3 linked regions of the Arabidopsis thaliana genome follow. The protein of the gene in region 1 interacts with the protein of each later gene in a pairwise test. Each region holds a gene or a part of one and is shown on either strand. Other genes may lie near its edges. The genes, in order: AT1G07740, AT3G53630 and AT1G07400.

Region 1 (11,444 bases):
AAGTGGAAGAGTCCAGGTGGTTGGTGGTGATGGGAAAAGAGTTCTTGAGACCCATATCAAAGCTGGTTCTCTCTTCATTGTTCCAAGGTTCTTTGTGGTTTCTAAGATTGCTGATGCTGATGGCATGTCTTGGTTCTCCATTGTCACCACTCCTGAGTAAGAACTTTTCTCTGCACTTTCCTTTTTGAGGTTTGAAATTGAAAGAAACTAATATGTTTGAAACTTTTTTCTTGTGTGTTTGTAGTCCGATCTTCACACATTTGGCCGGGAATACATCGGTGTGGAAGTCTTTGTCCCCTGAGGTTTTGCAGGCAGCGTTTAAGGTGGCTCCGGAGGTGGAGAAGTCCTTCCGATCCACGAGGACTTCATCAGCCATTTTCTTCCCTCCTTCCAACTGAAGAAGGAGAAGAATGAGAACAAGAACCAGCTTTTATCTTTTATCGTTTGTTGCTTTCCCTCAGAGATTTTTGAGGGTTTTTACTTTTCTTGTGATTCAAGGAAGTTTCTTAGTCTAGTTGTTTAATTCTCTTCCTGCCTTTTCCCCCTGGACCGGTTCTTGTTCTCGTTGTTTTAAAATATTAAAAAATCAACCTTTCCTATATTTTACAGTCTTCCTTCTTTTCAACTTTTGGAAAAATTGAATCAAAAGAAATTTGTCTTCCTTCAAATTCTCACTTTCATATTAAACTTCAGAATTTTGATGGTTCAAAAAGAAATTCCAATTACTGTAAACAAAAATTCCAATCAAACGAACACTATATTGAAAAGTAAGTTCATGTAACGATGACTGATAAAACATTACAACATGTGATTTTGATGACATGAAAAGTAAGAATGGTTTGATAACTACTATTAAAACCTTTGACAAACAGGAACAGGTACACCACACGCTTCTAAAACTTGTTTAGCAGATGTCATATATGGAGCAATCAATGGGTTTTTCAAGTACTCACAAAAACACGACTTTTTATCTTTCAATTTTGTGCAACATTTTGTCGATGGTGGGGTTTCGCCTATTATATCTGGTAGGCATGCTTTGAGATCTGTCACGACGCATGCCGCTTTCTCCTCTGCTTTGGTCGGAGCCATTGACGAGAGAACAAACGCAACGAAAACTAATGTAGTGAACTTCATCTTCATGTCTTGTAAGTTGTAACCTTAAGTTTCTCCTTCTATCTAATTTCTAGTCTTGCTTAGAAAATGCTTGAAATAATCGATTACGAGATTTGTTTAAGAATGGAGTAATGTTTTGCAGTATAGGCTGATGTGTGTGTTTTAGGTATATATATAGTGTCGACTGTCTTTAATTGTTGATTACTGGAATTAAGCTAACAAATTTGAAAGCACTGCCTTTTATAGAAACTGGAAAGATTTAATTATAGGAAATGAATCAATCAGTTCACATGTGTATATACAGTTTGGAAATGTTCGAAAATACATATAGAAGTTTGATATTAACAAATGATTTCAATCAATGAAAATCTTCAAAGATTTAATATAAATAAAATTTCTTTGGAAAGTAATTAAATAGGAAAAAAAAAATAAGAGATCTGGAAATTTATAAATTTATTTGGTTTAGGTTAACTGAGTATCGGTTTAAAATTGAGGTGACCAAGGATGTTAAAATGGGCTAAAAGTTTAGGGCCGGTCCGGATCCGTTGAAAAATATAAGCTCTGGGCCTGATAAAATTGAATGAGAGATTTTCGGGCTAAAACAAGGCTGGCCCTATTTGCGGTTTTCAGATTGGGGTAAACCGGGATTAAGAGTCTGGGTCGTGAAAACGAACCGGAGGCTAATTGGATTTGTTCTTCCTTCTCCACATTCCAATTTGAGGGCAGTGGAGGTGTAACAACAATGGCGCCTCTCAAACATCTGGAGAAGGAAAATCCAATCATCGACGCATGTTTCCAAGATTTCTGCGCCTCTCATGGAATTTTAACAAGTTGTGTTCTACATCTTCTCTTCTTGTATCTCGTTTTCTCGTATCGATTCTATTTGATTTCTCCTGTTTGCCTGCAAAAAAACGACTGTGGTTGGCATATGAACATGAGAAACACAATTGCTTAGTCCAATTACTGTAAGTTCACTTTAAAAAGTTTTGAATTCTGGAATCTGGATAGTGCGCTGTTTGATATTTGATCGTTTAAGCTAAAGGTGTTCGACGAATTAGATTTTTGTAGTTATAGAGTCGGATTCGGTTTGGAATGTTTGTGTTGATGGCTTTTCTCAAAATTGCAGTTGAGGATTTCCTTCTGCATGATCTCTACGAACTTACTGCATTTTCTCAACGGCAGACAAATGCAGATAGATTGAAAGAGGTTTTTAGCTTTTTACTTAACGTTACTGTCGATTTTTGAGGTTTAATTGTGTGTGTGCGCTCAAAGGTATGTGACATATGTTTTCCTTCGGATGCTTCAGGGTATCACTCTCATCCTCTCTTTGATAGAACGTCAGTGTCGGCCATTGGTGAATGGTTTAAAACTGTTGGAGGATCTACACCGTAATAAACATACTCTGTCGACTGGAGACAAAGAGACGGACTCATTGCTTCAAGGTGGATTCCGTGAGGGTCAGCTTACAGAACTTGTCGGACCTTCCTCTTCTGGGAAAACACAAGTATGTATTTTCTGTTAGGCATTTCACTATTCATGTTTTTGTCTTGTCTTCTGTGTGAAAATTATTCATAGATAATCGTTTTAAATCTTTAGGAATTGTAGATTGTTTCATTCAAACAAAGAGACTGTTCCTAGAAAAAAAGTGTTGTCTTTGCTTACCCTTTTTTTGTGCTCTCTCTTTACATTGTGTGATTTCTTATGAATGACTAGTTTTGCATGCAAGCTGCTGCAAGTGTAGCAGAGAATCATCTTGGCAGAGTCTTGTATTTAGACACAGGGAACTCTTTTTCTGCCCGACGCATTGCTCAATTTATCTGCTCCAGTTCAGATGCTACTTTAGGGCAGGTTTATTTATTTCTTGTACCCTAGCCTATGACCCAGTTCTTTAGTCAATCACCAATTATTTATGTTTTTAATCTTATGGACAAGAAACGTATAAGTGCAGAAAGTCATGAGCAGAATATTATGCCACACGGTCTATGACATATATACACTGTTTGATACGCTGCAAGATCTAGAGATTACTTTGAGGTTGCAGGTATTAAGCTAGCTAAAAGATGCAATCTCCTCAATGTCACTTTAATGTCTATATTCTTAGTGTTAACCATGAGTTATCTATTTCTTTTCACTTGCAGATGAATGTGAATGAGTCCCGACTACGATTGTTAGTTGTTGATTCAATCTCTTCTCTGATTACTCCAATCCTTGGAGGCAGTGGCTCACAGGGTACATACCCTTGTATGTCTATCACTTTTTCTTCACCTCAATGGTTAACAGTTGTGCGGGTGATTATGAAGAATGACTCAGAAATTGGTGTGTGCAGGACGCGCTTTGATGGTGGCAATTGGATATTTGCTTAAGAAGCTGGCTCATGAACATAGCATCGCTATACTGGTATTAAAGAAGTTTCAGGCCATTAAGCGTGTCCTTGTGCTTTAAAGTCAAAACCTTTTTTTTGTGTCTCCTTGTGTATTGAAGGTGACAAATCACACGGTGGGTGCTGGAGGAGAAGGTGGTAAAACCAAACCAGCTCTTGGGGAAACATGGAAAAGCATCCCACACGTGAGACTTTCGCTATCACGTGACCATAAGAACAGCAACTGCACCATCTCCATCTTAAAACACACATCCTTGGTACGTTGCTAACCAAACAAAATTTCTGTATCTCTTAGTCCAACGTCATTTCCTTTGGTTTTACAGTTTCTGTGTGTGATTATTTTCTTTGTAGCCTTCAGGCCAAGCTGCGAAGACCTTGACTCGCAAGGAGAATCAACAATGTCCATAAGCCTCCTTGGCTATATATTCCACGCCCATCGTTTGGATGTGCAAGAAGAGAACCACATAAATGAATGATCAGATGGATTTCTTGTTTCGGTTTTACATGTAGAATTATACTGCAGCAATGAAAATTAAAATTTGTTGAACAAATGAGTGGTGTGTATATAAGGATCACATGAATATAGAATCACATTTTAAAACTTTGCGCGCACACCAAAAAATAAAATAAAAATAAAGCTTTCTAGTTTATTCCGAGTTTGCATATTTAAGCTGAAACAGAGCAAAGGAAGAAGACGAAGAGAATCCGATGCGTAGAAGACTATCTTCCGTGCTAATCAACAATCAGTGCATCGCGTCCCAACGCCATTACCACACATCTCGACCTGAGAAACCCACAAAGAAAGCCAGCAGCCATGAACCAACTCACAAATTCACCAGGAAGCCATGGGAGGAAGTGCCATTTCTCACCGATCTCAAAGAAATCGAAGACCCAGAGGAAGCTCTTTCTCTCTTCCACCAATACCAGGAAATGGGTTTCCGACACGACTACCCATCTTACTCTTCTCTCATCTACAAGCTTGCAAAGTCCCGTAACTTCGACGCCGTCGACCAAATTCTCCGCCTTGTTCGCTATCGAAACGTCCGGTGCAGAGAATCCCTCTTCATGGGATTGATTCAGCATTACGGGAAAGCCGGTTCGGTCGACAAAGCCATCGATGTTTTCCACAAAATCACCTCCTTTGATTGTGTTCGCACGATTCAGTCTCTCAACACTCTCATCAACGTTCTGGTCGATAACGGCGAGTTGGAAAAGGCCAAAAGCTTTTTCGACGGGGCAAAGGATATGCGTTTGCGTCCCAATTCGGTGTCTTTCAATATTTTGATCAAAGGATTTCTTGATAAATGCGATTGGGAAGCTGCATGTAAGGTGTTCGACGAAATGCTTGAGATGGAGGTGCAACCGAGTGTTGTGACATACAATAGCCTGATTGGTTTCTTATGCCGAAATGACGATATGGGTAAGGCGAAGAGCTTGCTTGAAGATATGATTAAGAAAAGAATACGTCCGAATGCTGTGACATTTGGGTTGTTAATGAAAGGTTTATGTTGTAAGGGAGAGTACAATGAAGCAAAGAAGTTGATGTTCGATATGGAGTATCGTGGGTGTAAACCGGGTCTCGTTAACTACGGAATTTTGATGAGTGATCTTGGGAAGAGAGGGAGAATTGATGAGGCAAAGCTTCTACTCGGCGAGATGAAGAAAAGACGGATAAAACCAGATGTTGTGATCTATAACATTCTGGTAAACCATCTTTGCACTGAGTGTAGAGTCCCTGAGGCTTATAGAGTGCTGACGGAAATGCAGATGAAAGGGTGTAAACCAAATGCAGCTACATACCGTATGATGATTGATGGGTTTTGTCGTATCGAGGATTTTGATTCAGGGTTGAATGTTTTGAATGCAATGCTTGCAAGCAGACACTGTCCCACACCTGCAACGTTTGTATGTATGGTTGCTGGGCTGATTAAAGGCGGTAACTTGGACCATGCTTGCTTTGTGTTAGAGGTGATGGGAAAGAAAAACTTAAGTTTTGGGTCTGGTGCTTGGCAAAATCTACTTTCTGATCTCTGCATCAAGGATGGAGGAGTATATTGTGAGGCTTTGTCAGAAGTAATTTCCATCTAAGCAATGACCTTTTTAAAGGTAAGATTCTCATCCTTGTTTATTCATGTCTGTTAAAATTAACAGGGTGGACGAATTTATTTTCTTCTTAATCTTTGGTTAATTCACAGTTTCACACAATGGAACTTCTAAATTGATACATTCAAGATCTTGTGGTGAAGTTATAGCTGAAGTGTTCTGGCTTTTTTTTTCTTCTTTCTTTTCTCTATGTTTCTTCTCTAAACCGAACCACCCATATAATGGAAAAGTTGTCAGTATGTCACCTACTCTGTTTCATCAACTACATCTTCTTATATCACCAATATAGCTCATTTTATATATAAATGCTCCTCTAGAATCAACGTATATAAACACACGAGAATTAGAAACAATTCAACTCCAATTCAAATTAACAATCTTAGTCTCTGATCTTTCTACTTGTCAATGGCAGGCTGCAAAGTACTCTTCTTCCTGATTTTAGCTCTCGCCATTACTTTTGTCTCAGCTGCTCGGCTTCTTGATGAAGAAGAAGATATTGGGTTGGTCCCTTTGCCTACCACGAGTCCTGGTCCTTTACCAACAGTTGGTTTAGGCCCCTTTCCCACTGCTAATTCAGGCCCTGCAACTGGTATCGCTTCAGGTACAGGTTCAGCCTCAGGGGGTTTAGGTTCCTTGGGTACCAATACTGGCCCCGGGCCTCTATCGACCACTGGTTCTAGTCTTTTACCAGTTGCTAGTTCGGGTACCTTGCCTGTTACTGGCCCCGGTCCTCTACCAACCAGTTCTGGTCTCTTACCGGGTGCTAGTTCGGGTAACTTGCCTGGTTCAGGTTCAGGGCCTTTGCCTACTGTTGGTTCAGGTGCTGCAGCTACGGGTCTGGGCGCAGGTGCAGGGTCAGTGATTGGTGGTTCAGTTCCTGACAACACTTTGGTTTTCTTCATGCACGATATACTCGGTGGCTCAAACCCGACAGCGAGGGCTGTGACTGGAGTCGTCGCAAACGCAGCCCTCAGTGGCCAAATTCCATTCGCTAAGCCCAATGGTGCAAACCTCCCTGTTAGTAACGGCGTTCCATCAGACAATAACAACAATGGAATCCTGAACAATAACAACGTCCCACTTCTCGTCGGGCTTGGCGGAACCACTTCCAACATTCTACAGAACAATGGAAACAACATGTTGAACGGTCTTCCCGTGGCTAACGGCGGCCAGCTCCCATCGGGTTCGTCTCTTCAGATGCTCATGTTTGGGACATTGACGGTGATGGACAACGAACTAACCGAAGGACACGAACTCGGGTCTGGTCTGCTGGGTAAAGCCCAAGGCTTCTACGTGGCAAGTGCCCTTGATGGGACCAGCCAGACTATGGCTTTCACGGCTATGTTTGAGAGCGGTGGATATGAAGATAGCATCAGTTTCTTCGGTGTGCATAGAACAGCTGCATCGGAATCTCATCTTGGGGTAATGGGCGGTACTGGTAAGTATGTGAATGCGAGAGGCTTCGCAATTGTCAAGACTTTTACGGGTTCCTCCGGGACCCAGCAGCAGCAGCCGCACCAGTTCACAGATGGGCTCGAGACTGTTCTGGAGTGCACCGTTTATCTTTCTTACTAGTTTCTTTTCCCTCTTCTCTTATCTTTTTTGTCTACCAAGAAAACGTGAAAACCTATTAATTTGACAACCAATCCCTTGTTATTCCAACTTTTACTCTTAAGAACAAAAACAGAGAAAAAAGTTAGTTACCACTGTGACTGATCATTTAACAAACTATACCTCTAAATTAAGAAAGACAATGATGTATACATGCATGTGTTTTATCCATACAACCTGTAAATTTCAGTCTAAATTTAACACAAACAATTTGTTGTCCCAAAATCAAAGACTTAGAAAACAAAATGAGAGACATAAACGGATGACCAGCGTGTACATTTTGACGAACTTGGAACGGCTCCAACAAAAAAAAACAGTCGCCGAAACAAGAAACCGAAGATGGTAAATAAATACCCCAACACCTTAAGACCCATTTCTTCAAACCCAAGAAACAATGGTGCTCTTGAAACCCACCACCTTATCAAAATCCTCTAAGGTCGGGCCGCAACAGCAACAGGGCTTCTCCGAGTCTCTAATCGGCGATAGTGTGGAGGCAGCTGACGCCTTCATATGCCAATGGGTTACTCCACACCTCTGCGACTCTTCTTCTTCTTCATGCAGCCTCTCTTCCCTCTTCTCCGCTCAAAACCGCCTAGAAGGCAGACGCTTCCTCGAGGTTCTCGGCAAGTTACAATACGCCATTCAGAGCACCGTTGCTATGAATCCGGACTCCGCTAAGCTTGCTAAAGGACAGGATTTGATGCGGAAAGCTATGAAGCATTTGGAGAAGGAGTTTTACCGGGTTTTGAAATCGAATCGCCGCTTTCTGAGTCCAGAATCCGTCTCTGGTTGGTCTTCTGAATCCAACATACCTTCGAGATCAAGTGGAACCGCTTCGGATTCTTCATCAGATGGAGAGCTTTACTCTGAATCCTCATCGGAATTAGGTAAAGACATAGGAGGAGGAGGGAATTCTGATGCTATTGTTGATTTGAAGATGATAGCAAATTGCATGATCTCCTCTGGTTACGAGAAGGATTGTGTTAAAATCTACAAGAAGTTTCGCAAAAAGATCATCGTCGACACATTGTCTCATCTAGGGTTCGAGAAGCTAACCTCTACACAGATGCAGAAACTGGAATGGGAGATTCTGGAGAAGAAGATCAAAATATGGGTGATTGTTGCGAGAGTAGCAATCACCACTCTGTTCAACGGAGAACGAATCCTTTCCGATCACATTTTCTCCTCCTCCGTCGCTGAATCTTGCTTCGTTGACATAACGCTACAGAGCGCGTTAAACCTCTTCATCTTCTCACTAACCGTAGCGAAATCCAGAAAAACTGCAGAGAAGATCTTCCCTACGCTTGACGTTTACCAGACGATCTTGCAACTGACTCCCAAAATCGATCAGATTTTTAGCTACGATTCAACCGCTGCCGTTAGATTACAGGCGAATGAATCTCTAGAGAAGCTATCGGAATCGGTGAATGCAATGATGACGGAGTTTCAATCGTCGATTACGAAGGAATCGTCGAAATCGGCGATTTCTGGCGGCGGAGTTCATCAGCTCACGAGGTATGTGATGAACTTCATCGTCTTCCTCGCAGACTACAGCGATTCTCTCGCCACCATTCTCAAGGAGTCATCGTTACCTTTACCGGAGGATTACTTCAGTAGCAGCGGCGAAGAGAATCCAGGATCCGGTGATCGTTCTCCGATGGCGGCGAGACTCGCGTGGTTGATTCTCGTCTTGCTCTGTAAAATCGACGCCAAATCTCGGCTCTACAACGACTCGGCTCTATCGTATCTCTTCCTAGCGAACAACCTCCATTACGTTGTGACCAAGGTCCGTACATCGAATCTCAGACTCGTACTCGGAGACGATTGGGTAGCGAATCACGAGGTTAAAGTGAATCAATACCTCGAGAAATACGAAAAAATGGCCTGGGGGGATGTGATAGCGTCGCTCCCCGGTGATTCAACGGCGGGGACGGAGGCGGAGGAGTCTCTGAGACGGTTCAACGAGGCGTTCGAAGAGGCTTACAAGAAGCACAAGACATGGGTCGTACCCGACCCGAACCTGAGAGACGAGATCCAAGCGTCCATAGCGAGAAAACTAATGCCCGGGTATACGGGTTTCTATAAGAAACACCCGGTCGGGTCATGCAATATTGTCAGATTTACCCCTGAAGATCTAAATAATTACATAACCGACCTATATGTTGGTTTAGGAAGATCCGTGCCCGTATCCAAAACTAAGAAGTATATGGTTAGCCCAAGCCATACGACGGATTTGAAGTAATAGCTCCATGTAAAAAGCCCTCATACGTGTAACTCTGTGAAATCAACGAATCATAGGCCGGTCCTAGGCTAAAAGCCCATATATCAATTTTGGGCTTCAAATTATAGACCATAGATATAAAAGTCTACATTTCATTTGCCATATTCAGAATCAGTGTGTACTTGTGCTTGCTTTTGTTCTCTATTGATCTGATCTTCTTGTACGTGTGTTGTTCACACTCACGCCTAAATCACATTCTTCTTTATAAATCTTTTTGTTTAACCTTTTCTTCGCAAACCCATAACGTGTAGGGTTTAGTTTCCTTGTAGTTTTTAGTTTATTTTAGGATTCAGTTTGGTTCGGATTTATGCGTTTTTGTGACTAATAGTTTTAAATTTTGTTTGGCAATCGAATGGAGAAACAGTCATGCACAATAGTAAAGCAAATGACTTGTTTTATATTTTTCGTTACTTTGATAATGTTATTATGGTTAGCTATGGCCTATGCATGCAGGCGGATTTGAATTGAGTATATATTTGTTGAAACAAACATATTTTTACAAAAATGAAAGAAAAAAAGTACTCCATTGACTTTTTTGTAAAATTAAATAGATAAATCATATGATAGATGACCGACAAAATAATATGGCTCGTTGCTAAAAAAGGCCATGATTCGTCGCAGGAAAATAAAAAGAATTGTGGTTGGAAGTTAAGTAGTTAGATGAGCAAGTCTTTAATGATGATGGATTTATTTTAGTATTCTGTATGCAAACGTAGGAGACGTATACCAGTTTTCCCACGATGTATCTGCCATTTCCTTAAATTTTTCAGTGGCAACATGCAATGTTAACTTCAAATTCTATTGAAAAAAAAGGTTAACATCTCAACATACTACTTCTTTTTGTCCATATTTTGCCTGCATAAAAAATATTACCATCACATATCTCTCTGTCTTGCAACAAATTAACCAATATACATTTGGCCAACGATCTAGGGTTTGAAAGAAATGTTTTTAACACACGGACACGTAACTTGAATGCCGTTTATCATTATAAAGAAAACAAACAATATACAAGGACACTTAATCACTAAGCCACAATGAAAGAGACATTTGATTAATAATGCATTCACACGTAAATGATTGTGAACCAGTGTCATCTCTCCATTTGCTACCAATCGAATCGAAAATTTTGGTTTATTTGGATAATCTTAAGAAAAGTCAAACTTATAAAATGAAATGACCAGCTAACTAAAAACACCGGCAAACATTAACTCCTGTAATTATCAACTTAGAAAGAAAAAAACATTAACTCCTCCATTATTAGAACTAACCTCAAAACAACAACTCTTAATGCTTTCACAAAGTGTTTCCAATCTTCTCGACCATTTTTATAAAGCAAATTGACACGCAGTAAACGCGTGATCGTCATTGACAACATATAATGCGTCCAAATAAATTTAAATGATGTATAAAAAATCATAGTCTTTGTAGAATTAAAAGAGATGGTTATGAATTTGAATCGATCAATTAAATAAGAGAAAAAAGTAAAGGACGTAGTCGCACGCGGATAGTGTGAGTAAGCGTTACGTTGATGGCTTTGTAGTAAAAGAGAGATACGTAATTAAGTTGGTGGAGGTTGAGATGAGAGCTTTCATCACAACACTCTCACTTATATCCAAAAAAGTTCATTATTTCATAAACCTGTATATTGCTTCTTCATACTAGCTCACTTTCTCACCAAATCTCTTTATTGCTCTTTCACCTACAACCTCAAATTTTCTATATAGCATATAATAAAACATATTAATTAATTTTGATACCCAATATATCTAAACTTTAAAACTTAATTTGGTCCAACAAACGTCAATCGATACAATCATGTGTTCTTCTAGCTTATGGATTCTATTTGACGACATCATGAAGAGTTTGTACAAATCAATTAATTTGGATATTACATAAACTAAAAATATGTTGTTTTTTTTTACGGATGATCTTTTAATAACTGAAGATGAAAAT
Region 2 (10,463 bases), on another chromosome or scaffold:
TCTTACACTATTTAGTTCTATGTTAATCCAAATTTATCCAATTATTTCCGATATCTAACTATTATCCAAAAAAATTAGGGAATGACACGACACGACGTAAGCCTTTCCTAAATTATACGATCTAGTTTCCTTTTCTAAATGGATACGAAGAGTGATTCCATTGACATTAAAGGAAAAAGTTAAAGCATACATTCTCAGATTTGTTTTGAATGTAGACTGCAATTATTACGTTAATGTGATCGTCTTATTAATGCTTTTAACTCCAATTTACAATGAGATTCATGTTTATCCAATTTTATCCCAATCTCATTAAACTCTTACCATACAAAAAGTCAGAAAGATTATCCAAAACCTTCCGATATGAAAATGGTAATTATTTGAAATGCACGTGTATATTTATCATAAAAATTAATCATAAAACGGTGCTTACGGTGATGGTAATTGGTGACTTGTATCAATCAATGCCAGTAACCGATTATAATACGAGTTCAAATACCAAAAAAAAAAAGAGCTGTAAACAACAAAAATCCATATAATATCTAATACTTTTAAAAGTATAAATCTAATAATTTAAAATAATAATAAGTTAGTAATTTATTTTAAACTCCTAATATCAAAATAGTATAGAAATCCTATACTATCATAGGAATCCTAAAAGTATAAATTATTTTAAATTCTACTAATTTAATAGTTACCAGCTGAAAAAAAAAATAAAAAAAATAAAAAAATAATAGTTACCAAAATTACTATCATAGACAATCCATGCATTTTTGCATGAATCCTAATACTATATAAAATACGATAAACACCCATATTTATCATTTTACACATCTTTTTGTTTGAATTATCCATATACATTATGTATAGAAAGAAAATAAAAACGAATATTCACTTGACAGATTAACATATGCTTTTCTTTTGATTGCAGTTTGTAATCCACCGACAGAGAAATTGCGATGTCATAAATCTGAACACGAATTTTCGGTGCACTCGCCAACACCTGATCTCAACTCTCTCCAGCATATTCCCCAAATTAACAGTAGCTAACGGAGACTTAACGTGGACTCCTCGCAATCCGAGTCACTTTAACGTGTATCAGACAGCCAAACCTTACGTTGACCCCACCGCCGTTAGGAATTCCGTCTATGTCTCTTTTTCCATCATCCAATAAAATCTTGCCACATTGACACTTTCGGGTCCGGACATATTCCAAAATTAAAGAGAATTTAATTTATTGTTTTCCTTCCAGAAAAATATTAATATTCTTTCTAAACTAAAAAATGGAGTCTTCAAATAGCACAGAAGCAGAGACATAGAGCGGGAACGCGTTTAGTCACAGCTTTCTTCTCCTTTAGCTTTTCTCTCTACACTTGCTTCTCTCTCTCTCTCCTTTGGGTTATCCTTCTTGAGATCTGTGCTTGCGTTTCTTCTTCATTCGACGACACTTTATCTCGGGAGATTTCAGATTTGTCGATTTGTTCAGGTACGGATTTCGAAATGTTCTTTCAATCGGATTTGTTCTTCCTCGGAAGGTTTCTAGGGTTTTGGGATTGGGTGTCTTTAATCTGTTTGCATAAGCCATGAACGAGTTTTTTTGTTCCCCCGAGAGATCTTTGTGACTTGTAGATCTGAGTTGGGTTCCAAAATATTCAATCTTTGTGATGTATATCTACATTTTTAGATTATCAAACTCCATTAAAGAGAAAATCTTTGCTCGTTTCTCTTAAGGCCCATTGCTTTTTATCTGAAGATGATTTCAAGAGAGTGCCCTGTTTTTTTGTATAAATAAAATTTTGATCTTTTGCTCGCTTTATACACATGTGGGAACGGTTTTGTCGGTGGAGACATTTATGGATTCGTGAACTGCTGCAAAAATTATGCGTTTCTTGGACGTTTCTGTAACTTTCTCTTTATTAGATTTTGTATCTTGTGTCTCTGTGTCCACCATTGCGTTGTGTGTATTCAATTGATTTCCCCAGGTGTTGAAGATTGTTATTTATATATTTAACTTATTTTATGCACAGAGATCTTTAGTATAATTCATGAAAATATGGTTTTATCTTCCATGATCTAGGGGAACTAAAACATTTGTAAAGTTTGAGCCCATATTTTGTGTTTGTTGCTTTTCAGAGATGCATATATTATGGTTGTTGTTCTGTTTATGAATTGTTATGTGCATTGTTTTGCAGCAATGGCGCCACCGATTGAGGTTTCTACCAAAAGCTACGTTGAGAAACATGTTTCACTTCCTACTCTTAATGAGAGGATACTTTCGTCCATGAGTCACAGATCAGTAGCTGCACACCCATGGCATGATCTCGAGATAGGTAAGCTATACGTAAAGGTTTCTTTTTCTTTTTTTTGGCTCTAAGATCATTTCATTGTTTTTTAGTAATAACTCTTATACCTTTTTTGCTTCGCATTCCTTTGTTTACAGGACCTGAAGCCCCAATTATCTTCAATTGTGTAAGTGTTTTGCTAAAGCTCTAAGGATTGAAAATATTTAATTATATTGTCACAAAACTGCCATTATGCGTATTCGGAGATGCTGCAGTTGTTTACTATTTCTACAGAATTTACATATTTGTAGCATTCACTCAAAGAAAATTAAAACATTCATTGGCTATATATCTTGAAACCTGAATTGAGTCTGCTGTAGCATATGAAATGATGTTCATCGCCTGATTAGGAAACCATTTTATGGGTTTAATCTTTGAGATATTGTTGTGGGAATCATTAACCAAGCATACGGAGGCATTATTACAGGTGGTTGAGATAGGAAAAGGGAGCAAGGTGAAATATGAACTCGACAAAACTACGGGTCTCATTAAGGTATAAATTTGATTGCATTAACTTTCTTCGCTGTCCCTTTCATTATTAGAGGTACGATTGTCTAAACTTTACACATATTCTCAGGTCGACCGTATTCTTTACTCATCTGTCGTATACCCACACAACTATGGGTTCATTCCGCGTACCCTTTGTGAGGACAGTGACCCTATTGATGTTCTTGTCATTATGCAGGTAACATATTTTTTCATACAATTTTGAGAACCTGCATAATTCATTACATAATGTTTCTTGTTCTATTTTGATTTGTGCATCTGATAAGCTTTGAAGAAGTTCAAGCGCTCAACTCTTAGCTATAGACTCTACTTTATAACTGTGTAGCTTAGGAATGAATGTAGCAGATGAGAAATGTTGCCAGTCAGTTATCGAGCAGTTAGTGGCTGCTAGGCTTATAAAGGTGTCTCAGCATATTGTTTAGAGTGTGGATTTTCTAGTGTTTACTCTGGAATTTAAAACCTCTTATTAATCAATCAAGTCTATAAGCATCATCAGCATCTCAGTCTGTCTTATTTGACTGGTAGAAAACACATCTCATGTGAATCTTGTTGAATATTTTCTACAGGAACCGGTGATCCCAGGATGCTTTCTTCGGGCCAAAGCTATTGGTCTGATGCCAATGATTGATCAGGTTAGATATTCAACGTACTTGTCATATTAGTACTTATAAAAGTAACAGAGATTGAAACTAGAAGCTCTTTCTGCTTGAATAGGGTGAGAAAGACGACAAGATCATTGCTGTCTGCGCTGACGATCCAGAGTATCGCCATTACAACGACATCAGTGAGCTTCCGCCTCATCGTATGGCTGAGATCCGCCGTTTCTTTGAAGACTGTGAGTGTTCTTTTCTTACAAACTTTTGGTTGGTTAAGGATGATATGAGGCTCATACTCTTGTAATCTTGTTGCAGATAAGAAAAACGAGAACAAGGAAGTAGCCGTTAACGACTTCCTTCCGGCAACTGCAGCCTACGACGCAGTTCAGCATTCCATGTAAGTAGCCTTCATGAAACTTACTGTTATTTACTTCATATATTATGACCTTGTAAATAGCCGCAATTTGTTTATATCAAAGAATAACTAACTAATCAAATTGGGACAACTCTTTTGTGTCATGTAGGGATCTCTATGCAGACTACGTCGTGGAGAACCTAAGACGTTGAATCACCACCTCAAGCAATGGAATGAAAGCTCACAACTGCATTATTCACAAATATAAATATACATATAAATGTCAGGCTTCTCAAAGGATATATTTGTTGTGTATGTCCTCTGATGAATCCGGTAGATGATGCCGATAATTCTTTTTTTTTTTTGTCGTATGAAACCGATAATCAAAGACTAAAACAGGGATTTTTCTCATTTGTGGTCATCACTTTTTAAATTTTGGTGTCATTTCTCATCTTAATCAATTTGTTTTTGAGTTTTATTCTTCTATTAGATCTTTTATACATCAAAGAATAGATGAAGATTCCTCCCTAAAACCTTATAGTATGTCATTTATTCACAATATGTTATACGTGTTAATTTTCTCTCTTTTAGTATACTCTTTTTTTTTCTTTCAGATTCCATCCCAAGTTGCTTAAATTTTGTTAAAACCAACTAAATTCCATAGTTCAATTTACAAATCTGTGATCAGATGCTATCTAAATGAATATTACCATTTTAGCCCTTACCTTTTCTGAAATTTACCACGTTTACCTCAATGAACCGTCATCGCAAAACCAAAAACCCTTTCCTATCCCTAAAACCCGAGAGAGCATCTTCTTCTCCTCTTAGGGTAGAAGAAGGACGAAAATCGGAGGAGGAAGAAGAAGATCGATTCGATTTGTGATCAACGATGAGCTCCTTCAATGGAAACAGCAACATCGACAACCTCCTAATCCAAACCCTACTTGGACGTCTCCAAATTCGTCCCCCTAACTCTCATTTCCTCTCTCAATCCCTAGACGACCTCCTCTTCAAATCCGACGACAGCGACGGCGATGATGACGGAGAAGGTCAGACCAGTCTCGACAGAGAAGAAGCTAGGCTTGAGAAAGAGCTAATCCGAGTCATCGTCTCTGGTCGAAGCGATTCTCTCAAGCCGAATTCAGGTCAAGCCGTGACAGTCAACGAACACCACATCTGCGTTGGGTTTCATGAGGATGAGGAATCGGATTATCGTGTTTGGGAGTGGCATGGTCATATCATGTTGTTTGATGAAGAGAATGGGTACACGCCTGAGTATATCTACGGGAATTACTTCGAGAGGTTGCCTGTGAAGCTTCCTAATAACCGCCGTGTGGAGAAGGAGAAGAAGAAGGAGATGAAAGAAGAGGAGGTGGAGAATTTGGGGCTTAGAGAGTTGATCGATGGTGGTGACGCTGCTCCTGGTAGGATTCTTCATAGGAACAACATCAACATCGGTTCCTCAAGGTTTGTTTCTTACAACTCCTTTTAAACTTTCTATCATTCTGTGTTGCTTTCGGGATGATTTAGTTGTTCATTGATCTAGGGTTGGCTAATCAAAGTTTTAGGTCATGTATTAGAGTATGTATTCAGTGAGAAATATAACAATGGCTCATATGTTTTGGATGATTTTTGCTGTTAGCGAATTCTGTTTTGAAATTTGATTCGCTCATGGTGAAGCCTTTAGTTTGCTTTTACAGTTTCTTTTTCGTTGCAAGACAATAAGTTGATGAAAAGAGTTTGGAAAATGATAGTTTTTGATCATTGCCAGTAGTGAATTCAGCACTTGCTGTTTCCTGAATGAAGTTACAGGTTAGGCCAATGTGTGGTTGTGGATTGTGGTCATTGCATTTCTGTCTCGAAATAACACATGGTCGTTAAATACGATCGATTAATTCTCCTCAATTCATATTAGATAGTTGTTTCCCATATATGTATGATAAAACTGCATGTTCTTACAATGCTTTTTGTTAACTTTTTTACCTTGCTCTAGGCCTTCAATGCTGTTTTGGACACTCGATTTAGTTCACAATGTGACTAGTGAGACTTCGTCGATCTCCAAATCAATTGCTTTCATATACAGTTCACTATATTAGTCAGGGATTTTCATGCCAAGAATATTCATTTTTACGGTGTCCACAAATATTGATATAGAATGTTGTTTAAATGTTCATATGATGACCACATCTAGATCTTCCGATATCCATTTACATTACTTAATGAGAGTTCTAAGACGATGAATTTTAAGCTTGTGGTGTGATAATCTACTCAATAGTATTAGTAATGCTTGATCTTACTCTTGCCTTTTCATATTCTGTTCGGATATCCATCCTCTTCCAAGTATCTATTAGATTATTCTCTTGTTTCACTTTAGATTCCAACTTTAACTTGATTATCTTGCGGTTACATACTCAAAATGTTTAGAATCGATCACTGAACTTACGTGGTTCATCGTGAACTGGCAGGGTCTAAGTTCCTAAGAGCGTCTTGGTAGGGAGAGGTCACATTGTTCGGGAAGATTTCAGATGTGTGAACAACTCGCGACAACAAAACATAAGGTGCTGGTGGGTCTACGGGTTCTATTCCGTTTTATTTAAACCGGGAAATCCATGGGTGAATCTGTTTTCTTTAAGAAATTCATCTGAAGTTGTTTCTGAACCAAATTTACAATACATGTTAATGAAGAGAGAAAAGATTACAATGCATGGTCATCGAACTCGGAAGCTTTCAAGTTTCCCCATGTTTGTTTATTTTGTGTTCTTAAATCAGAATCATATGTTTTGCTCATTTTACAATTCTGCTTTCGATAACGAAATTTAATTGAATCGTTTTCAAATCTCGAGTACTTCCAATGAAGATTTCACCTTTTTTTTTTATTGGTGAATAGTATGTATTATATCGGATTTAAAATCACGTTGTGTAATATAATGAGGAAAGTCGTACAAACTACCAAACTAAATGTACGGTAAGAACTGGGAAGCACATGTGTTGCACACGTACCCAATACCCATGGTAGAATGTTGTTATTCATTATTGTTTTAAAATAATATTTAAGATAATAATTTTTTGGAATTTTTAGTTATATTAAGACTTTGTAAAAATTAAATCTTTAATTATTACAAATAAATTGATTTGATATTTGTAACGTAGATATTATTAATCTTATTAAGTTTGATTTTACATATTTAAACGTAAAAATGAAGAAAAAGGTATTTTTCCAAATTTACTCTATTTATAATCTATGTATTAAATTTATATGCTTAATTATAACTTTTTAATAATATAATGCTTAATGTTATAAATATATGTGTGTGAACACTTCTAATACGTACCACTTTCTAAAATTCTTTAAAAATCGTTTTGATATGCAAAAGTTCTACAAAAATTCGCTTAAATAACAATTTCCTCTTCTTTAACTCTTACTCTTCATTTGTTGCCGTGAGTTTTCACCATTCAGAATCATAGTCATTCACGAAATATTCTCATATATATTTTTTTTTGTTAAAAAGAAATGTCAAGTGTAGAAATAAAATGAAAAAAGAAATAAGATATTAGAGAAATACAAAGATTGAAAAGCGATGTCTTCAGAAAATAGATGTTGAAAGCAAAACAATGTTTGCAGACATAAAGTATATTCGGTTGTGCAATGAAACAATGATGTAGACAAAAAAAAACAGTCCTATCAAGCATTGATTTTCTTAACCACTAAATTCAAAAAAGTATGCAATTTTGATCCACACACCCTTAGCTTAAATTAAATCGTCACATTTTTTTTCAACTGTCGAAACTGAATCATGATTCTAAGAACAACATCGTCATTATAACACTCTTTAGAATCTTAATCAAAAAATTAATTGTGTAATATATAGAATGTACATGTATCCAAGCAAGGGCAACAACATTATGAGGTTCACTTGCCCGTGATGAATGGGTGAGCTAATGCCTGTGACACTGTAAGTCTCTTTTGAGGATCAAGTGTGAAAATTTTGTCCAAAAGATTCCTGAAATGAACCAACACCTTGGGATCTTCATCCTCATAACGTCGTCTAATTACTGAACCTAAATCTTTTGGCTTTACGTTGACCATTATTCTCCTTATTGTCTTTCCAGTAACACTATCCTCCTCTGTAGCATAGAAGCATAAGTCCTTATCAAAGTGTTGATCGATAAATGCTCCTTTGCGAAGCATCTTTTTAGGGAAGGGACCTTTCAGTTCCATATGCAGGCGTAACATATCATTGTTTGTGGAGCCAGGGAACATAATTTTCCCGCTATAAAGCTCATACAGACAACAACCAACTGACCAAATATCTAACGGATGGTCGTAGGGTAGTCCAAGAATGATTTCTGGAGCTCTGTAGAAACGACTAACAAGATATGGTGTAACTTGGTTTTCACCAGCAAACATTGCACTACCAAAATCACAAAGCTTTAACATGTTTCTTCCCTCATTCATTAGTATGTTATCAGGCTTTATATCGCAGTGAAGAACCCCACAGTTCTTGAGATGTTTAAGGGATATGAATAACTGCTCAGCATACACTCTAACATCATATAGTTTTAGACCAATGTTGACACCAATCTTCTTCACAACTTCACGGAGATTCAGATGAAGAGACTCAAACACCAAGCAAAGGTGGTTCCTATATTCAAAAGTTGAAAGAAGACGGACGCAGTGGTGCTTATTCTCTGGGTCAGAGCAAACTAGCTTCTTCAATATCCGAATCTCAGCCTGGCCAGCCTTATGCATTGTCTCATTTTTCCGAATAATTTTTATAGCCACTTCCTCAGGTTCACCTAGCTCAGGTTTTGTGTCTTTTGCACGCACCACGGTAGAGAATACACCTTTCCCATGAGTAGCCATGATTTCATATCTATCATCAAGTAGTTCACCAAGCTGATAACTGTAATAACCTTCTGCATCATCCCAATTATCATTGAGTCCACTCCTTACAAAAGGAACAAGTGCATTCCCTTTCCGAGTACCATCAGCTAGAGGAGACTCCCCAAAGATATCATCACTGAACATGTCACTCTTTGGGCTGCCTGCGGAAGCTAGTGTCATATCTGAGTCTGATATCACAAGCCGTGCAGGTGTTTCCCCAACTGCTGAAGATAGCTTGGCGACTTCACCATCTACGGCCTCAGTATCCAACCCAGCTTTAGCTTGAACATCTGCCACAGTAGAGGACTGCTCCAACTTTTTCTTATATTTCTCCAATATGGCTTGCGTAATCCTCTTGCTTTCCTCGATTCTTTTCATCTCTGCAGCTTCTTGTTCTTCAACTCCCCAAACAACATCTTCACCGTCATCATCATTATCAACTTCAGACCTTTCAACGTTGCCCTGAGTTTCACCGTTAGGTTTATGGCTTTTTAAAGAATCTAAGTCATCTTCTGCATCATGCCTAACTTCCCCATATCCATCACCACCACTTTTATAGATCTCCTGATCACTCTGGTCTTCTCTTCTTCCTCTATCCCTATCTTGATCCTTACGTCTCTCTCTTTCATTCTCCCTCCCAGTCTCTCTACTACTAGACCTAGCTTTATCTCTACTACTCCTACCTCTGTAGTTGTCTCTATTGCTTTCTCTATCAATGCTTCCCTTCTTCTTCAAATTCTCCCCTTCCTCCAAATCAAGTTCACCATCGTTACCAGGATTCCCCAAAAATGGATAAACATTCTTTTCATTGCCGTCCTCATCAAGATGATGACTGTGTCGATGCTTGTGATGATGGTGCTTGTGCCGCTTGGAAGATTTAACGACTTCGTCGGAAGGAGAATACGACCTACGGTGTTTGCGGTGGCTTGATTCTACTATCTTATCGCTCACCATCAGATCGTCGGAAAAGATAGACAATCGCAAAATTAGGGTTAGGGTTCGATTTTCTCCCGCGCTCTCTCTGTCTCCGTGAACAACAGACTTCCATTAAAAAAATTCACATTATATAAAAATTACAGTCGGCATCGGCAAATTAAAAGGAAATCAGAATCGTCTATTTAAAAAAACAAAGGGCCCAGGCCCATTAATAATAAATGATTAAGAGGATAGAGCCATCATGTCCGTTGATTATTCGAAACCTTTCCGATGGATGGATGACACGTCATCGATCCGCAAGAAACTCGGGTAACCAATGAAAGCCAGCAGAAGCCTCTATATAAACAAATGTCTCCTCAGTTTTTCCATCAGACGCATCTTTCAATTGTCAAGTGATTGTATTTAACCACAATTTCTTCTCATCTCTAAAGTCAGCATCAATGGCTCCGAAAGCGGCAGAGAAGAAACCGGCTGGGAAGAAGCCAGCAGAAAAAGCTCCGGCAGAGAAATTACCAAAGGCGGAGAAGAAGATCACCAAGGAAGGTGGAAGCGAAAAGAAGAAGAAGAAATCGAAGAAGAACATCGAGACGTACAAGATCTACATCTTCAAGGTTCTGAAACAAGTTCATCCTGATATCGGAATCTCCGGGAAAGCGATGGGGATCATGAACAGTTTCATCAACGACATCTTCGAGAAACTAGCTCAGGAATCATCGCGATTGGCTAGGTACAACAAGAAACCGACGATCACTTCTCGGGAAATTCAGACGGCGGTGAGACTTGTGTTGCCTGGAGAGCTCTCGAAACACGCTGTTTCTGAAGGCACTAAGGCGGTTACTAAATTC
Region 3 (8,941 bases), 120 kb from region 1:
CTGCGACATCGATTAGGAGTCTACATCTTGAGTCTAATTACATGGAAGGTGTCTTTCCTCCTCAAGGTTATGTATTTCTTCTATATGTTTGGTTCTCTTTTTGACATTTTTGTATATAATTCAATTGGAGATGGATTTTGACGGCTTCTTGTTCTGGTGTGGCAGAACTTTCAAACATGACAAACTTGAGAGTGTTAAACTTGAAGGACAACAGTTTCAGCTTCTTATCTTCTCAAGGTAAAATATGTCAACAAACCTTTATATAGTTTTGTTGTTCCAAAAGAAAAGAGAGAACTAAAGAATTGATGTCAGATGACTGACTAAGTGTGACATTGAGATGCAGGTTTAACAGATTTCAGAGATTTGGAAGTACTGGATCTCAGTTTCAATGGTGTCAATGACTCTGAGGCTAGTCATAGTGAGTGGCTGCCTTTTTTTGCTTTGTTTTATGGAAGTGCTTACCTCTGCTGACTTATAACATCACTTATGAATGTGTTTCTTGGTGGTGCAGGTTTAAGTACGGCGAAACTGAAAACACTAGATCTTAATTTCAATCCGTTGTCAGATTTTTCTCAACTTAAAGGTAGACAGAGAGTACCAGGGGATTTACATACATGATCTTTATCCATTTCTGTCAACTTTCCAATTATAACTTGTGTTTTCCCGGATCTTCAGGTTTAGAAAGCCTCCAAGAGTTACAAGTCTTGAAATTACGAGGAAATAAATTCAACCACACGCTATCTACTCATGGTAAGTGTTATAAAACTGTTCTTGCAGAAGTGACTTATGGCTTAAAGAAGGCAATCAAATGTATTCTGGGTTTTTCTCCTAAGAATGTTTATTTTGCCTGGCAGTACTGAAAGATCTTAAAATGTTGCAAGAACTGGATCTCAGTGACAATGGGTTCACAAATTTAGATCATGGCCGAGGTAAGACATATATAGAAAGTAAAACTTGCTTGCTCTATCCTAACTGGTTTAATCTATCTACTTTAACTTTTTTTCATAGACGTTGATGAGAGTAGAAGTGAGAAGAGATTTGATTTTAGAGAAGTTGTTCAGAAAGTCGAGGTCAGAAATTAAAAGTTCAGCAAGCAACTATGAAGCCTAGTTTTCCTGGGTATCTTCTATAGCTATTGTAGACCCTCTGGATAGGATTGCGTCTAAGTTTCCAGATGAGCATAACACACCACAAGTCAGTTACTGTGGGAGGGGTTAAAGAGACTAGAATCAGATTATGATAAAATAATTCTGGATATTGTTTGGTTTGGTGTAGGTTTTTGTGGTCAATAATTGAGAATAATTTCGTTGAATCAATGTCTCATTGGTGTGTTACATTTGGGTTGGTGAATATAGAACGGTTTCCTGGGTTGCTTAACAGTCACTTACATGCTTATTAGAAGTGGAGCATGCAAATCTTTATCTATTTATGTATCCTTATGTTCTTTCAACTGCAGGTTTAGAGATTCCTACATCTTTACAAGTATTGGATTTCAAAAGAAATCAATTGTCTTTGACCCACGAAGGTGAATATTACAATAATTTTATCTTTCTTATCTTATGCATTTTTTGGTCTAAACAGAAGAGTCACACTTTGGTCACCCTCCTAACTGAATTTATACATAGATAGATTGTGAGAACAGAAGAACTTAATGAGTTACATGGCTATGAAGTCTAATTAGTTCATATGATGATGGAGTTGGTGAATATCTTGTTATTACTCTCTTTTAAAGATGAAGTTGATGATTATTCTGATTTCTTACACTCTTATTTGATTAATTTCAGGCTATTTAGGGATTTGCAGACTAATGAAACTCAGGGAGCTGGATTTGAGCAGCAATGCTTTAACAAGTCTACCTTATTGTTTGGGTAACTTAACGCATCTTCGAACTCTTGATCTATCGAACAACCAATTGAATGGAAACCTGTCTTCCTTTGTGTCTGGTCTACCATCAGTGCTTGAGTACTTGTCGCTGCTTGATAATAACTTCGACGGTTCGTTCTTGTTCAACTCACTGGTCAATCAAACAAGACTCACAGTATTCAAATTGTCATCAAAAGTTGGTGTGATCCAAGTTCAGACTGAGAGTTCATGGGCTCCATTGTTTCAATTGAAGATGTTATATTTATCGAATTGCAGTCTTGGCAGCACAATGCTCGGCTTTCTCGTGCATCAGCGTGACTTGTGCTTCGTTGATCTCTCTCATAACAAGTTGACAGGAACATTCCCGACTTGGCTTGTGAAGAATAACACAAGGCTGCAGACTATTTTACTAAGTGGGAACTCATTGACAAAGCTTCAACTACCTATTCTTGTTCATGGCTTGCAAGTTCTCGATATCTCGAGTAATATGATATATGATTCGATTCAAGAGGACATAGGGATGGTGTTTCCAAACCTGAGGTTTATGAACTTTTCTTCAAATCATTTTCAAGGAACTATACCATCTTCGATTGGGGAGATGAAAAGCCTACAAGTCTTGGACATGTCTTCTAATGGTCTATATGGGCAGCTACCTATTATGTTTTTAAGTGGTTGCTACTCGCTAAGGGTTCTGAAGCTCTCCAACAATCAATTACAGGGGAAAATATTTTCGAAGCATGCAAATCTTACTGGTTTAGTTGGGCTTTTTCTTGATGGCAACAATTTTACTGGGAGTCTTGAAGAGGGTTTATTGAAGTCAAAGAATCTTACTCTTTTAGACATATCAGATAATAGGTTTTCGGGCATGCTTCCACTTTGGATTGGTAGGATATCAAGGCTTTCCTACCTATACATGAGTGGTAATCAGCTAAAAGGTCCTTTCCCTTTTCTACGACAGAGTCCTTGGGTTGAGGTTATGGACATCTCACACAATAGCTTCTCTGGTTCGATACCAAGGAATGTGAATTTTCCATCTCTCAGAGAACTAAGACTACAAAACAATGAGTTTACGGGTTTAGTTCCGGGAAATTTATTCAAGGCTGCGGGATTAGAAGTGCTTGATTTGCGGAACAACAATTTTTCTGGAAAGATACTGAACACTATTGACCAGACATCTAAGTTACGTATTCTTCTTCTACGGAATAACAGCTTTCAAACTTATATCCCTGGGAAAATATGTCAGCTAAGTGAAGTTGGTCTGTTAGACTTGTCTCACAATCAATTCAGAGGCCCCATACCATCATGTTTCAGTAAAATGTCTTTTGGTGCAGAGCAGAATGACCGTACCATGTCACTTGTTGCAGATTTTGACTTCTCATACATTACATTCTTGCCACATTGTCAATATGGATCACATCTTAACTTGGATGATGGTGTCAGGAATGGTTATCAACCAAAACCAGCAACCGTAGTGGATTTTTTAACGAAAAGCAGATATGAGGCGTATCAAGGTGATATTCTCCGCTATATGCATGGTCTGGATTTGTCGAGCAACGAACTATCGGGTGAAATTCCAATCGAGATTGGAGATCTTCAGAATATCAGGTCCCTGAATTTGTCAAGTAACCGCCTCACAGGCTCCATACCAGATAGCATTTCAAAGCTGAAGGGCTTAGAGAGTCTTGATCTATCCAACAATAAGCTAGATGGAAGTATCCCTCCTGCGCTAGCCGATCTCAACAGTTTAGGATACTTGAATATCTCATATAACAATTTATCAGGTGAAATCCCTTTCAAAGGCCATCTTGTTACCTTTGACGAGAGGAGTTACATAGGCAACGCTCATCTCTGTGGACTTCCTACAAATAAAAATTGCATCTCCCAGAGAGTCCCTGAGCCACCAAGTGTGTCAACGCATGCCAAAGAGGAAGAAAATGAAGAAGAAGGTAATGTGATAGACATGGTGTGGTTTTACTGGACTTGTGCTGCAGTCTACATATCTACATCCTTGGCATTGTTTGCTTTCCTCTACATAGACTCACGATGGTCCCGAGAATGGTTTTATCGTGTAGATCTATGCGTTCATCATATTCTACAGTTCAAGCGTTCCTCAGTCTGCAACTGATTCTGTGGATTAGCCAAGGTATACACCACTGGAATAACACAGTCTTAAAATGCTTTCTTAGTTGATCCAAGTTAGATGAGAAAAAGCTTTTGTATACAAAATATATGTCTTCGATGTCAAATATATACATGATACCAGTTTCAATTTCTAAACATTATCTCATAATATTTGGGCCTCAGGAGCCCATTATAGCCCATAAAACGCATAACGGCTGAATAGAGTCGTACTGTACTTGAAATTGAAAGGCATCTACTAGTAGACTCTAGAGTTTTCTGGATTCTGTTTTCCAATCTTTTCATCGTTTTCGTGTGAAGTTTAAAGAAGTTTGGGACCCGTAAATTCTAGAAGCTCTGGAGATTTCTTGTTCACCACTATAAATACATCATCCGAGTCACCAGCTTTGCTCAGAAGTAGAAATCGAACTCGCCGGAAAATCGTAATTAGCTATCTCAGCATTCCAAACATCTCTTTCGCTTTCGAAATCAAATCGAGAATGTCGCTTATTCCAAGCTTCTTCGGCAACAACAGGCGAAGCAACAGCATCTTCGACCCGTTCTCACTCGACGTTTGGGATCCATTCAAGGAACTGCAATTCCCGTCGTCGCTCTCCGGAGAAACATCGGCGATAACGAACGCACGTGTGGACTGGAAAGAGACGGCGGAGGCGCACGTGTTCAAGGCCGATCTGCCGGGGATGAAGAAAGAGGAGGTTAAAGTGGAGATAGAGGACGACAGTGTGCTCAAGATCAGTGGAGAGAGACACGTGGAGAAAGAGGAGAAGCAGGACACGTGGCATCGTGTGGAGAGGTCGAGCGGGCAATTCTCGAGGAAGTTTAAGCTGCCGGAGAATGTGAAGATGGATCAAGTCAAGGCTTCCATGGAGAACGGAGTTCTGACTGTGACGGTGCCTAAAGTGGAAGAGGCTAAGAAGAAGGCTCAAGTTAAGTCTATTGATATCTCTGGCTAAAGCCAATTAGCTTATGGGTTTCATGTTTATGCGTAAAGACTCTTCTGATTATGGCTCTTGATTTGAATATGGCTCTGTGTTTTGGTAATGATGTATTATAACTGTTAATCCTAATAATTAAGCAAGGCCTTTATATTCTCGTTTCAATTGCTTTTTCTGAAGATTTTAGCCGTAAATTCGATTTTAACTCGGATGGGACCAACTAAACTTAAGTTTAAAGGTTGAATTTTTAATTTAGATATGCAATTTGCATAATCTGATCTTAGTTTTGGTATGACTGATTTGTAACAAAGTCTTATAACAAAAAGTTGAAATTTAATGAAATTATTTCTTCCGTGGTAAACAAAAAAAAAAGAATCTCAAAATTCGAAACTAAATAAAAGGGAGTTTCCGTTTTCACCTCTTGGGCACAAAACCCGCAACGTATAAGGAAAGGAAACAGAGAAATACAGAAACAAAATATATAAAAAAAACATTTGTTCCATTCTCGATCCTTCCGGCTTGCTCAAAAGGTAAAATTCGATTTTCTAGGGTTTCGATTTGCTGCTTTTTGATCTCATTGACGATGATTAGTTGTAGTTTCTTCGATCGATGTTGACGTGAATGTGTATATGCGTAGGTTGATCAGACGCTAGGATTTGAGAAGCAATGGCGAATAGAATAGATCATGAGTACGATTACTTGTTCAAGATCGTCCTGATCGGCGATTCCGGTGTTGGTAAATCCAACATTCTCTCTCGATTCACCAGAAACGAGTTCTGTCTCGAATCCAAATCCACCATTGGCGTCGAATTCGCCACCCGGACTTTACAGGTCATCTCTCTTCTCTCGCTTTCTCTAAATCTAGACAATTTCCCTCCAGATCAATTTGGTGTTTAATCTTAGATTGTGTCGTCGCATTTGCATCCTCTGATATTTGAACAGGCATGTGATTGTTAGATCTGAAGATCTTATGTTATGAAAATGAATTCTCGTTAGGGGTTTATTTTAATGTAATTGTAGCAAATGAAATGGCTCGTCTTTGTTCATGCTTGTATGTGTAATCTTGACTAGGTTGAAGGCAAAACAGTGAAGGCTCAGATTTGGGACACTGCAGGTCAAGAGCGTTATCGAGCAATCACAAGTGCTTACTACAGAGGAGCTGTTGGAGCTCTTCTTGTCTACGACATAACCAAGAGACAAACTTTTGAGAATGTCTTGAGATGGTTACGTGAGCTAAGGGATCATGCTGATTCCAACATTGTTATCATGATGGCTGGAAACAAATCAGACCTGAATCACTTGAGATCTGTTGCTGATGAAGATGGTCGCTCTCTCGCCGAGAAGGAAGGTTTGTCGTTTCTCGAGACATCTGCTTTAGAAGCGACTAACATCGAGAAAGCGTTTCAGACCATTTTGTCTGAGATTTATCATATCATAAGCAAGAAAGCTTTAGCGGCACAAGAAGCTGCAGGTAATCTTCCGGGCCAAGGAACAGCGATCAATATATCAGATTCATCTGCAACTAACAGAAAAGGATGCTGTTCTACCTAATTACAACAATCCAACTATAGTGATTACTAATCAATCAATCACACGTTTTGAGTTTTCTCTTCTGATCTCTTACCAGTTCGTTTCTTCTTTTTTGGTTTAATTTCAGCAAGTATAGTATACCTTTTTCTTTCCGGGTCTTTGTTTTTCCATATCGTATTGGATTTATGTTACAAGATTTTGCTTAGTTGTATTGAACTGTGATCATTCACACCATTTTCTGAAAAAAGAAAGATTTTTTTAGTATCTTGATTTAAAATCTCTTGAAGACATAAGTGTGAATGATTTCCTTAGGATTAGTTTTTGGTTTGGCCAGTTTATATGCTCTTTGATCATTGTAATAGTAGCAGCCAAAGTGGTCTATAAATTGTTGGTCAACCTCTTCTTGGCTTTAATGGGTTGTAATCCTTTTAACTTTTTTCATAATTTCAAATCTTGTTTCTGGTTTCAAAAATCAAAGCGAAATATACTAAAATAGGGTCACTAGGGAGGTGGAAGAGGGTGATGTGCACGTGGGGATGTGTTAGCAATAGCATTCATTTACTCCACCGAAAAGGCCCTGACTCTGATAGAGAGAGTGGTCTTAAAAAAATAAAAATAAAAAGAGTTGGTGAGAAAAATAAAAAAATATCTCAGTTGCCAGATATCTATTTTCATTTTGGTGACAGTCTGTTGTTTGTTTCACTCGTGGCTCCTCTCCCACCTCTTTCTTCTTCTTCTTCTACATCTCTTCCCATCTGTCTCTCATAGATCCATCCATGGCTTCCTTCGTGGAATCTGGTTGGCAGGTACTCTCTCTCTCTCTCTCTCTCTCTCTCTCTTTCTTCATCATAATCTCATCTATCTAATCCTGCTTCCGATTCCCTCGTTTTCCGGCGATTTCCTCCGTCTCGATGACTTAAGTTCACTGTATTGTGATACATGCGTTTTTTTTTTTTTTAGTAATCCACCGGTCTGGATCCATCGGATTCAATTTGGTTTCGTGTCATTGCAGTACTGTTTTAGATCTGAATTTGACTATGCTACTAGTTACGTTGGAATTTTGACCGTATTTCCAGTTTCCGTCTGTTTGCTGGAGCTTAAATGGGTGTAGATATTGATACGGGGCCTAGACACGCATGAATCATATAATCGAGCCCCTTTTTTGTGCTCTCTGTTCAATCGGTTTAGCTTACGGACTTTCCAATGATCGGTTACCAAAATCGATAAAACGCCGTTCTGATTACTGTTATGTATTGTTTTCGAGTCTGTTTCTTATACTTAGTGTGCATTTTGGGTGTCTTGTGTCCTTAACTTGGATCACTGAAACTAGTTTTTACTTAATGATAGTATTTGTTTCCTTTCCTTGGTGTTTTGTGCGTATTGTCTATCATGAGTTCTCATTCAGCACGGAAATTTTGTATCTGGAGCTGATCATTTTATGTGGTTGATGCAGTACCTTGTGACACATTTTAGCGACTTTCAACTGGCATGTATTGGGAGTTTTCTCCTCCATGAAAGCGTGTTTTTCTTATCTGGACTCCCTTTCATTTTTCTTGAAAGGCAAGGCTTTCTCAGCAAGTACAAAATTCAGGTTTATTCTCTTCTTATTATTTATCTTTTACAAGTGTCTTCTATGTATGCAATCATAGCTTTGTGTGATGGTTTGAATATGATAGTCTAGAGGTTGATCCCCAAGAATTCAGTCTCACGTGAAAAGTGTTTTCTTATGACAGGCTGATGTCCATTTCAGCGATTACTAATAATTGTGAATATGACCCTTTTCTATGCTTCTCTTACCCTTTATGGTCAACACATACTTTTCTTTTGTCCCTATGCAGACAAAAAATAACACACCTGCAGCCCAAGGAAAATGTATTACTCGCCTGTTGCTTTATCATTTCTCCGTAAACTTGCCCCTGATGTTGGCCTCCTACCCTGTCTTCCGAGCCATGGGAATGCGAAGCAGTTTTCCTCTGCCGTCCTGGTATTGATCTTAAACTCGTCCATTTGGCAATAAAAAGAAAGAAAAACATAATCAAAAGATGTCAGTGTTGAGCATCATGAAAGAACCTGAGCTCATGTTTGATCAGGTATATAAGACCCTCTTTGGTGATGGTCCTGCAGGAAAGAAGTGTCTGCCCAGATATTATTCTACTTTATCATTGAGGATTTTGTCTTCTATTGGGGTCATCGGATCTTGCATTCAAAATGGCTGTACAAGAACGTGCATAGTGTGCATCATGAGTAAGTTTCAATGTTCACCATTTTTTTTTTCAGTCTTGATACTTGAAACTGTGAGTTTCTGAAAAGCAACCATTTCATGATATCACAGATATGCCACACCATTTGGTTTGACATCAGAATATGCTCACCCCGCTGAGATTCTATTTCTGGGTTTTGCTACCATAGTCGGTCCAGCTCTTACTGGCCCTCACCTAATTACTCTCTGGTTATGGATGGTGTTGAGAGTGCTG

The links.
Region 2: the proteins of AT1G07740 (region 1) and AT3G53630 interact in a two-hybrid assay, tested with the Arabidopsis thaliana proteins (one large-scale study listed by BioGRID).
Region 3: the proteins of AT1G07740 (region 1) and AT1G07400 interact in a two-hybrid assay, tested with the Arabidopsis thaliana proteins (one large-scale study listed by BioGRID).

Annotation. Positions count from the first base shown.
Region 1 is NC_003070.9:2,393,254-2,404,697, reverse strand, and holds AT1G07740 (Tetratricopeptide repeat (TPR)-like superfamily protein), read left to right. Parts: upstream 1-4,189; 5' UTR 4,190-4,201; coding exon 4,202-5,581; 3' UTR 5,582-5,599; intron 5,600-6,001; coding exon of another isoform or gene 6,002-7,171; 3' UTR 7,172-7,256; downstream 7,257-11,444. Other genes in the region: AT1G07750 (RmlC-like cupins superfamily protein), read left to right, coding at 1-156, 245-398; AT1G07747 (Bifunctional inhibitor/lipid-transfer protein/seed storage 2S albumin superfamily protein), read right to left, coding at 853-1,140; RAD51D (DNA repair RAD51-like protein), read left to right, coding at 1,856-1,943, 2,240-2,319, 2,420-2,617, 2,827-2,961, 3,062-3,154, 3,252-3,342, 3,440-3,510, 3,595-3,750 and 1 more; AT1G07730 (Disease resistance-responsive (dirigent-like protein) family protein), read left to right, coding at 6,002-7,171; EXO70H6 (exocyst subunit exo70 family protein H6), read left to right, coding at 7,602-9,449.
Region 2 is NC_003074.8:19,879,300-19,889,762, forward strand, and holds AT3G53630 (uncharacterized protein), read left to right. Parts: upstream 1-4,561; 5' UTR 4,562-4,686; coding exon 4,687-5,264; intron 5,265-5,790; coding exon 5,791-5,893; 3' UTR 5,894-6,262; coding exon of another isoform or gene 6,263-6,269; 3' UTR 6,270-6,639; downstream 6,640-10,463. Other genes in the region: PPa4 (pyrophosphorylase 4), read left to right, coding at 2,192-2,327, 2,438-2,466, 2,767-2,832, 2,917-3,024, 3,413-3,478, 3,561-3,681, 3,758-3,839, 3,967-4,009; AT3G53640 (Protein kinase superfamily protein), read right to left, coding at 7,708-9,636; AT3G53650 (Histone superfamily protein), read left to right, coding at 10,059-10,463.
Region 3 is NC_003070.9:2,270,667-2,279,607, forward strand, and holds AT1G07400 (HSP20-like chaperones superfamily protein), read left to right. Parts: upstream 1-4,259; 5' UTR 4,260-4,481; coding exon 4,482-4,955; 3' UTR 4,956-5,117; downstream 5,118-8,941. Other genes in the region: RLP1 (receptor like protein 1), read left to right, coding at 1-66, 166-237, 344-418, 512-583, 676-750, 855-929, 1,009-1,070, 1,142-1,213 and 3 more; RABA2b (RAB GTPase homolog A2B), read left to right, coding at 5,604-5,768, 6,009-6,488; SMO2-1 (sterol 4-alpha-methyl-oxidase 2-1), read left to right, coding at 7,244-7,273, 7,921-8,058, 8,306-8,451, 8,592-8,711, 8,800-8,941. UniProt on the Arabidopsis thaliana protein: Cytosolic mediator for sorting and targeting of nascent chloroplast outer envelope membrane (OEM) proteins to the chloroplast. Functions as an AKR2A cofactor to facilitate the targeting of OEP7 to chloroplasts.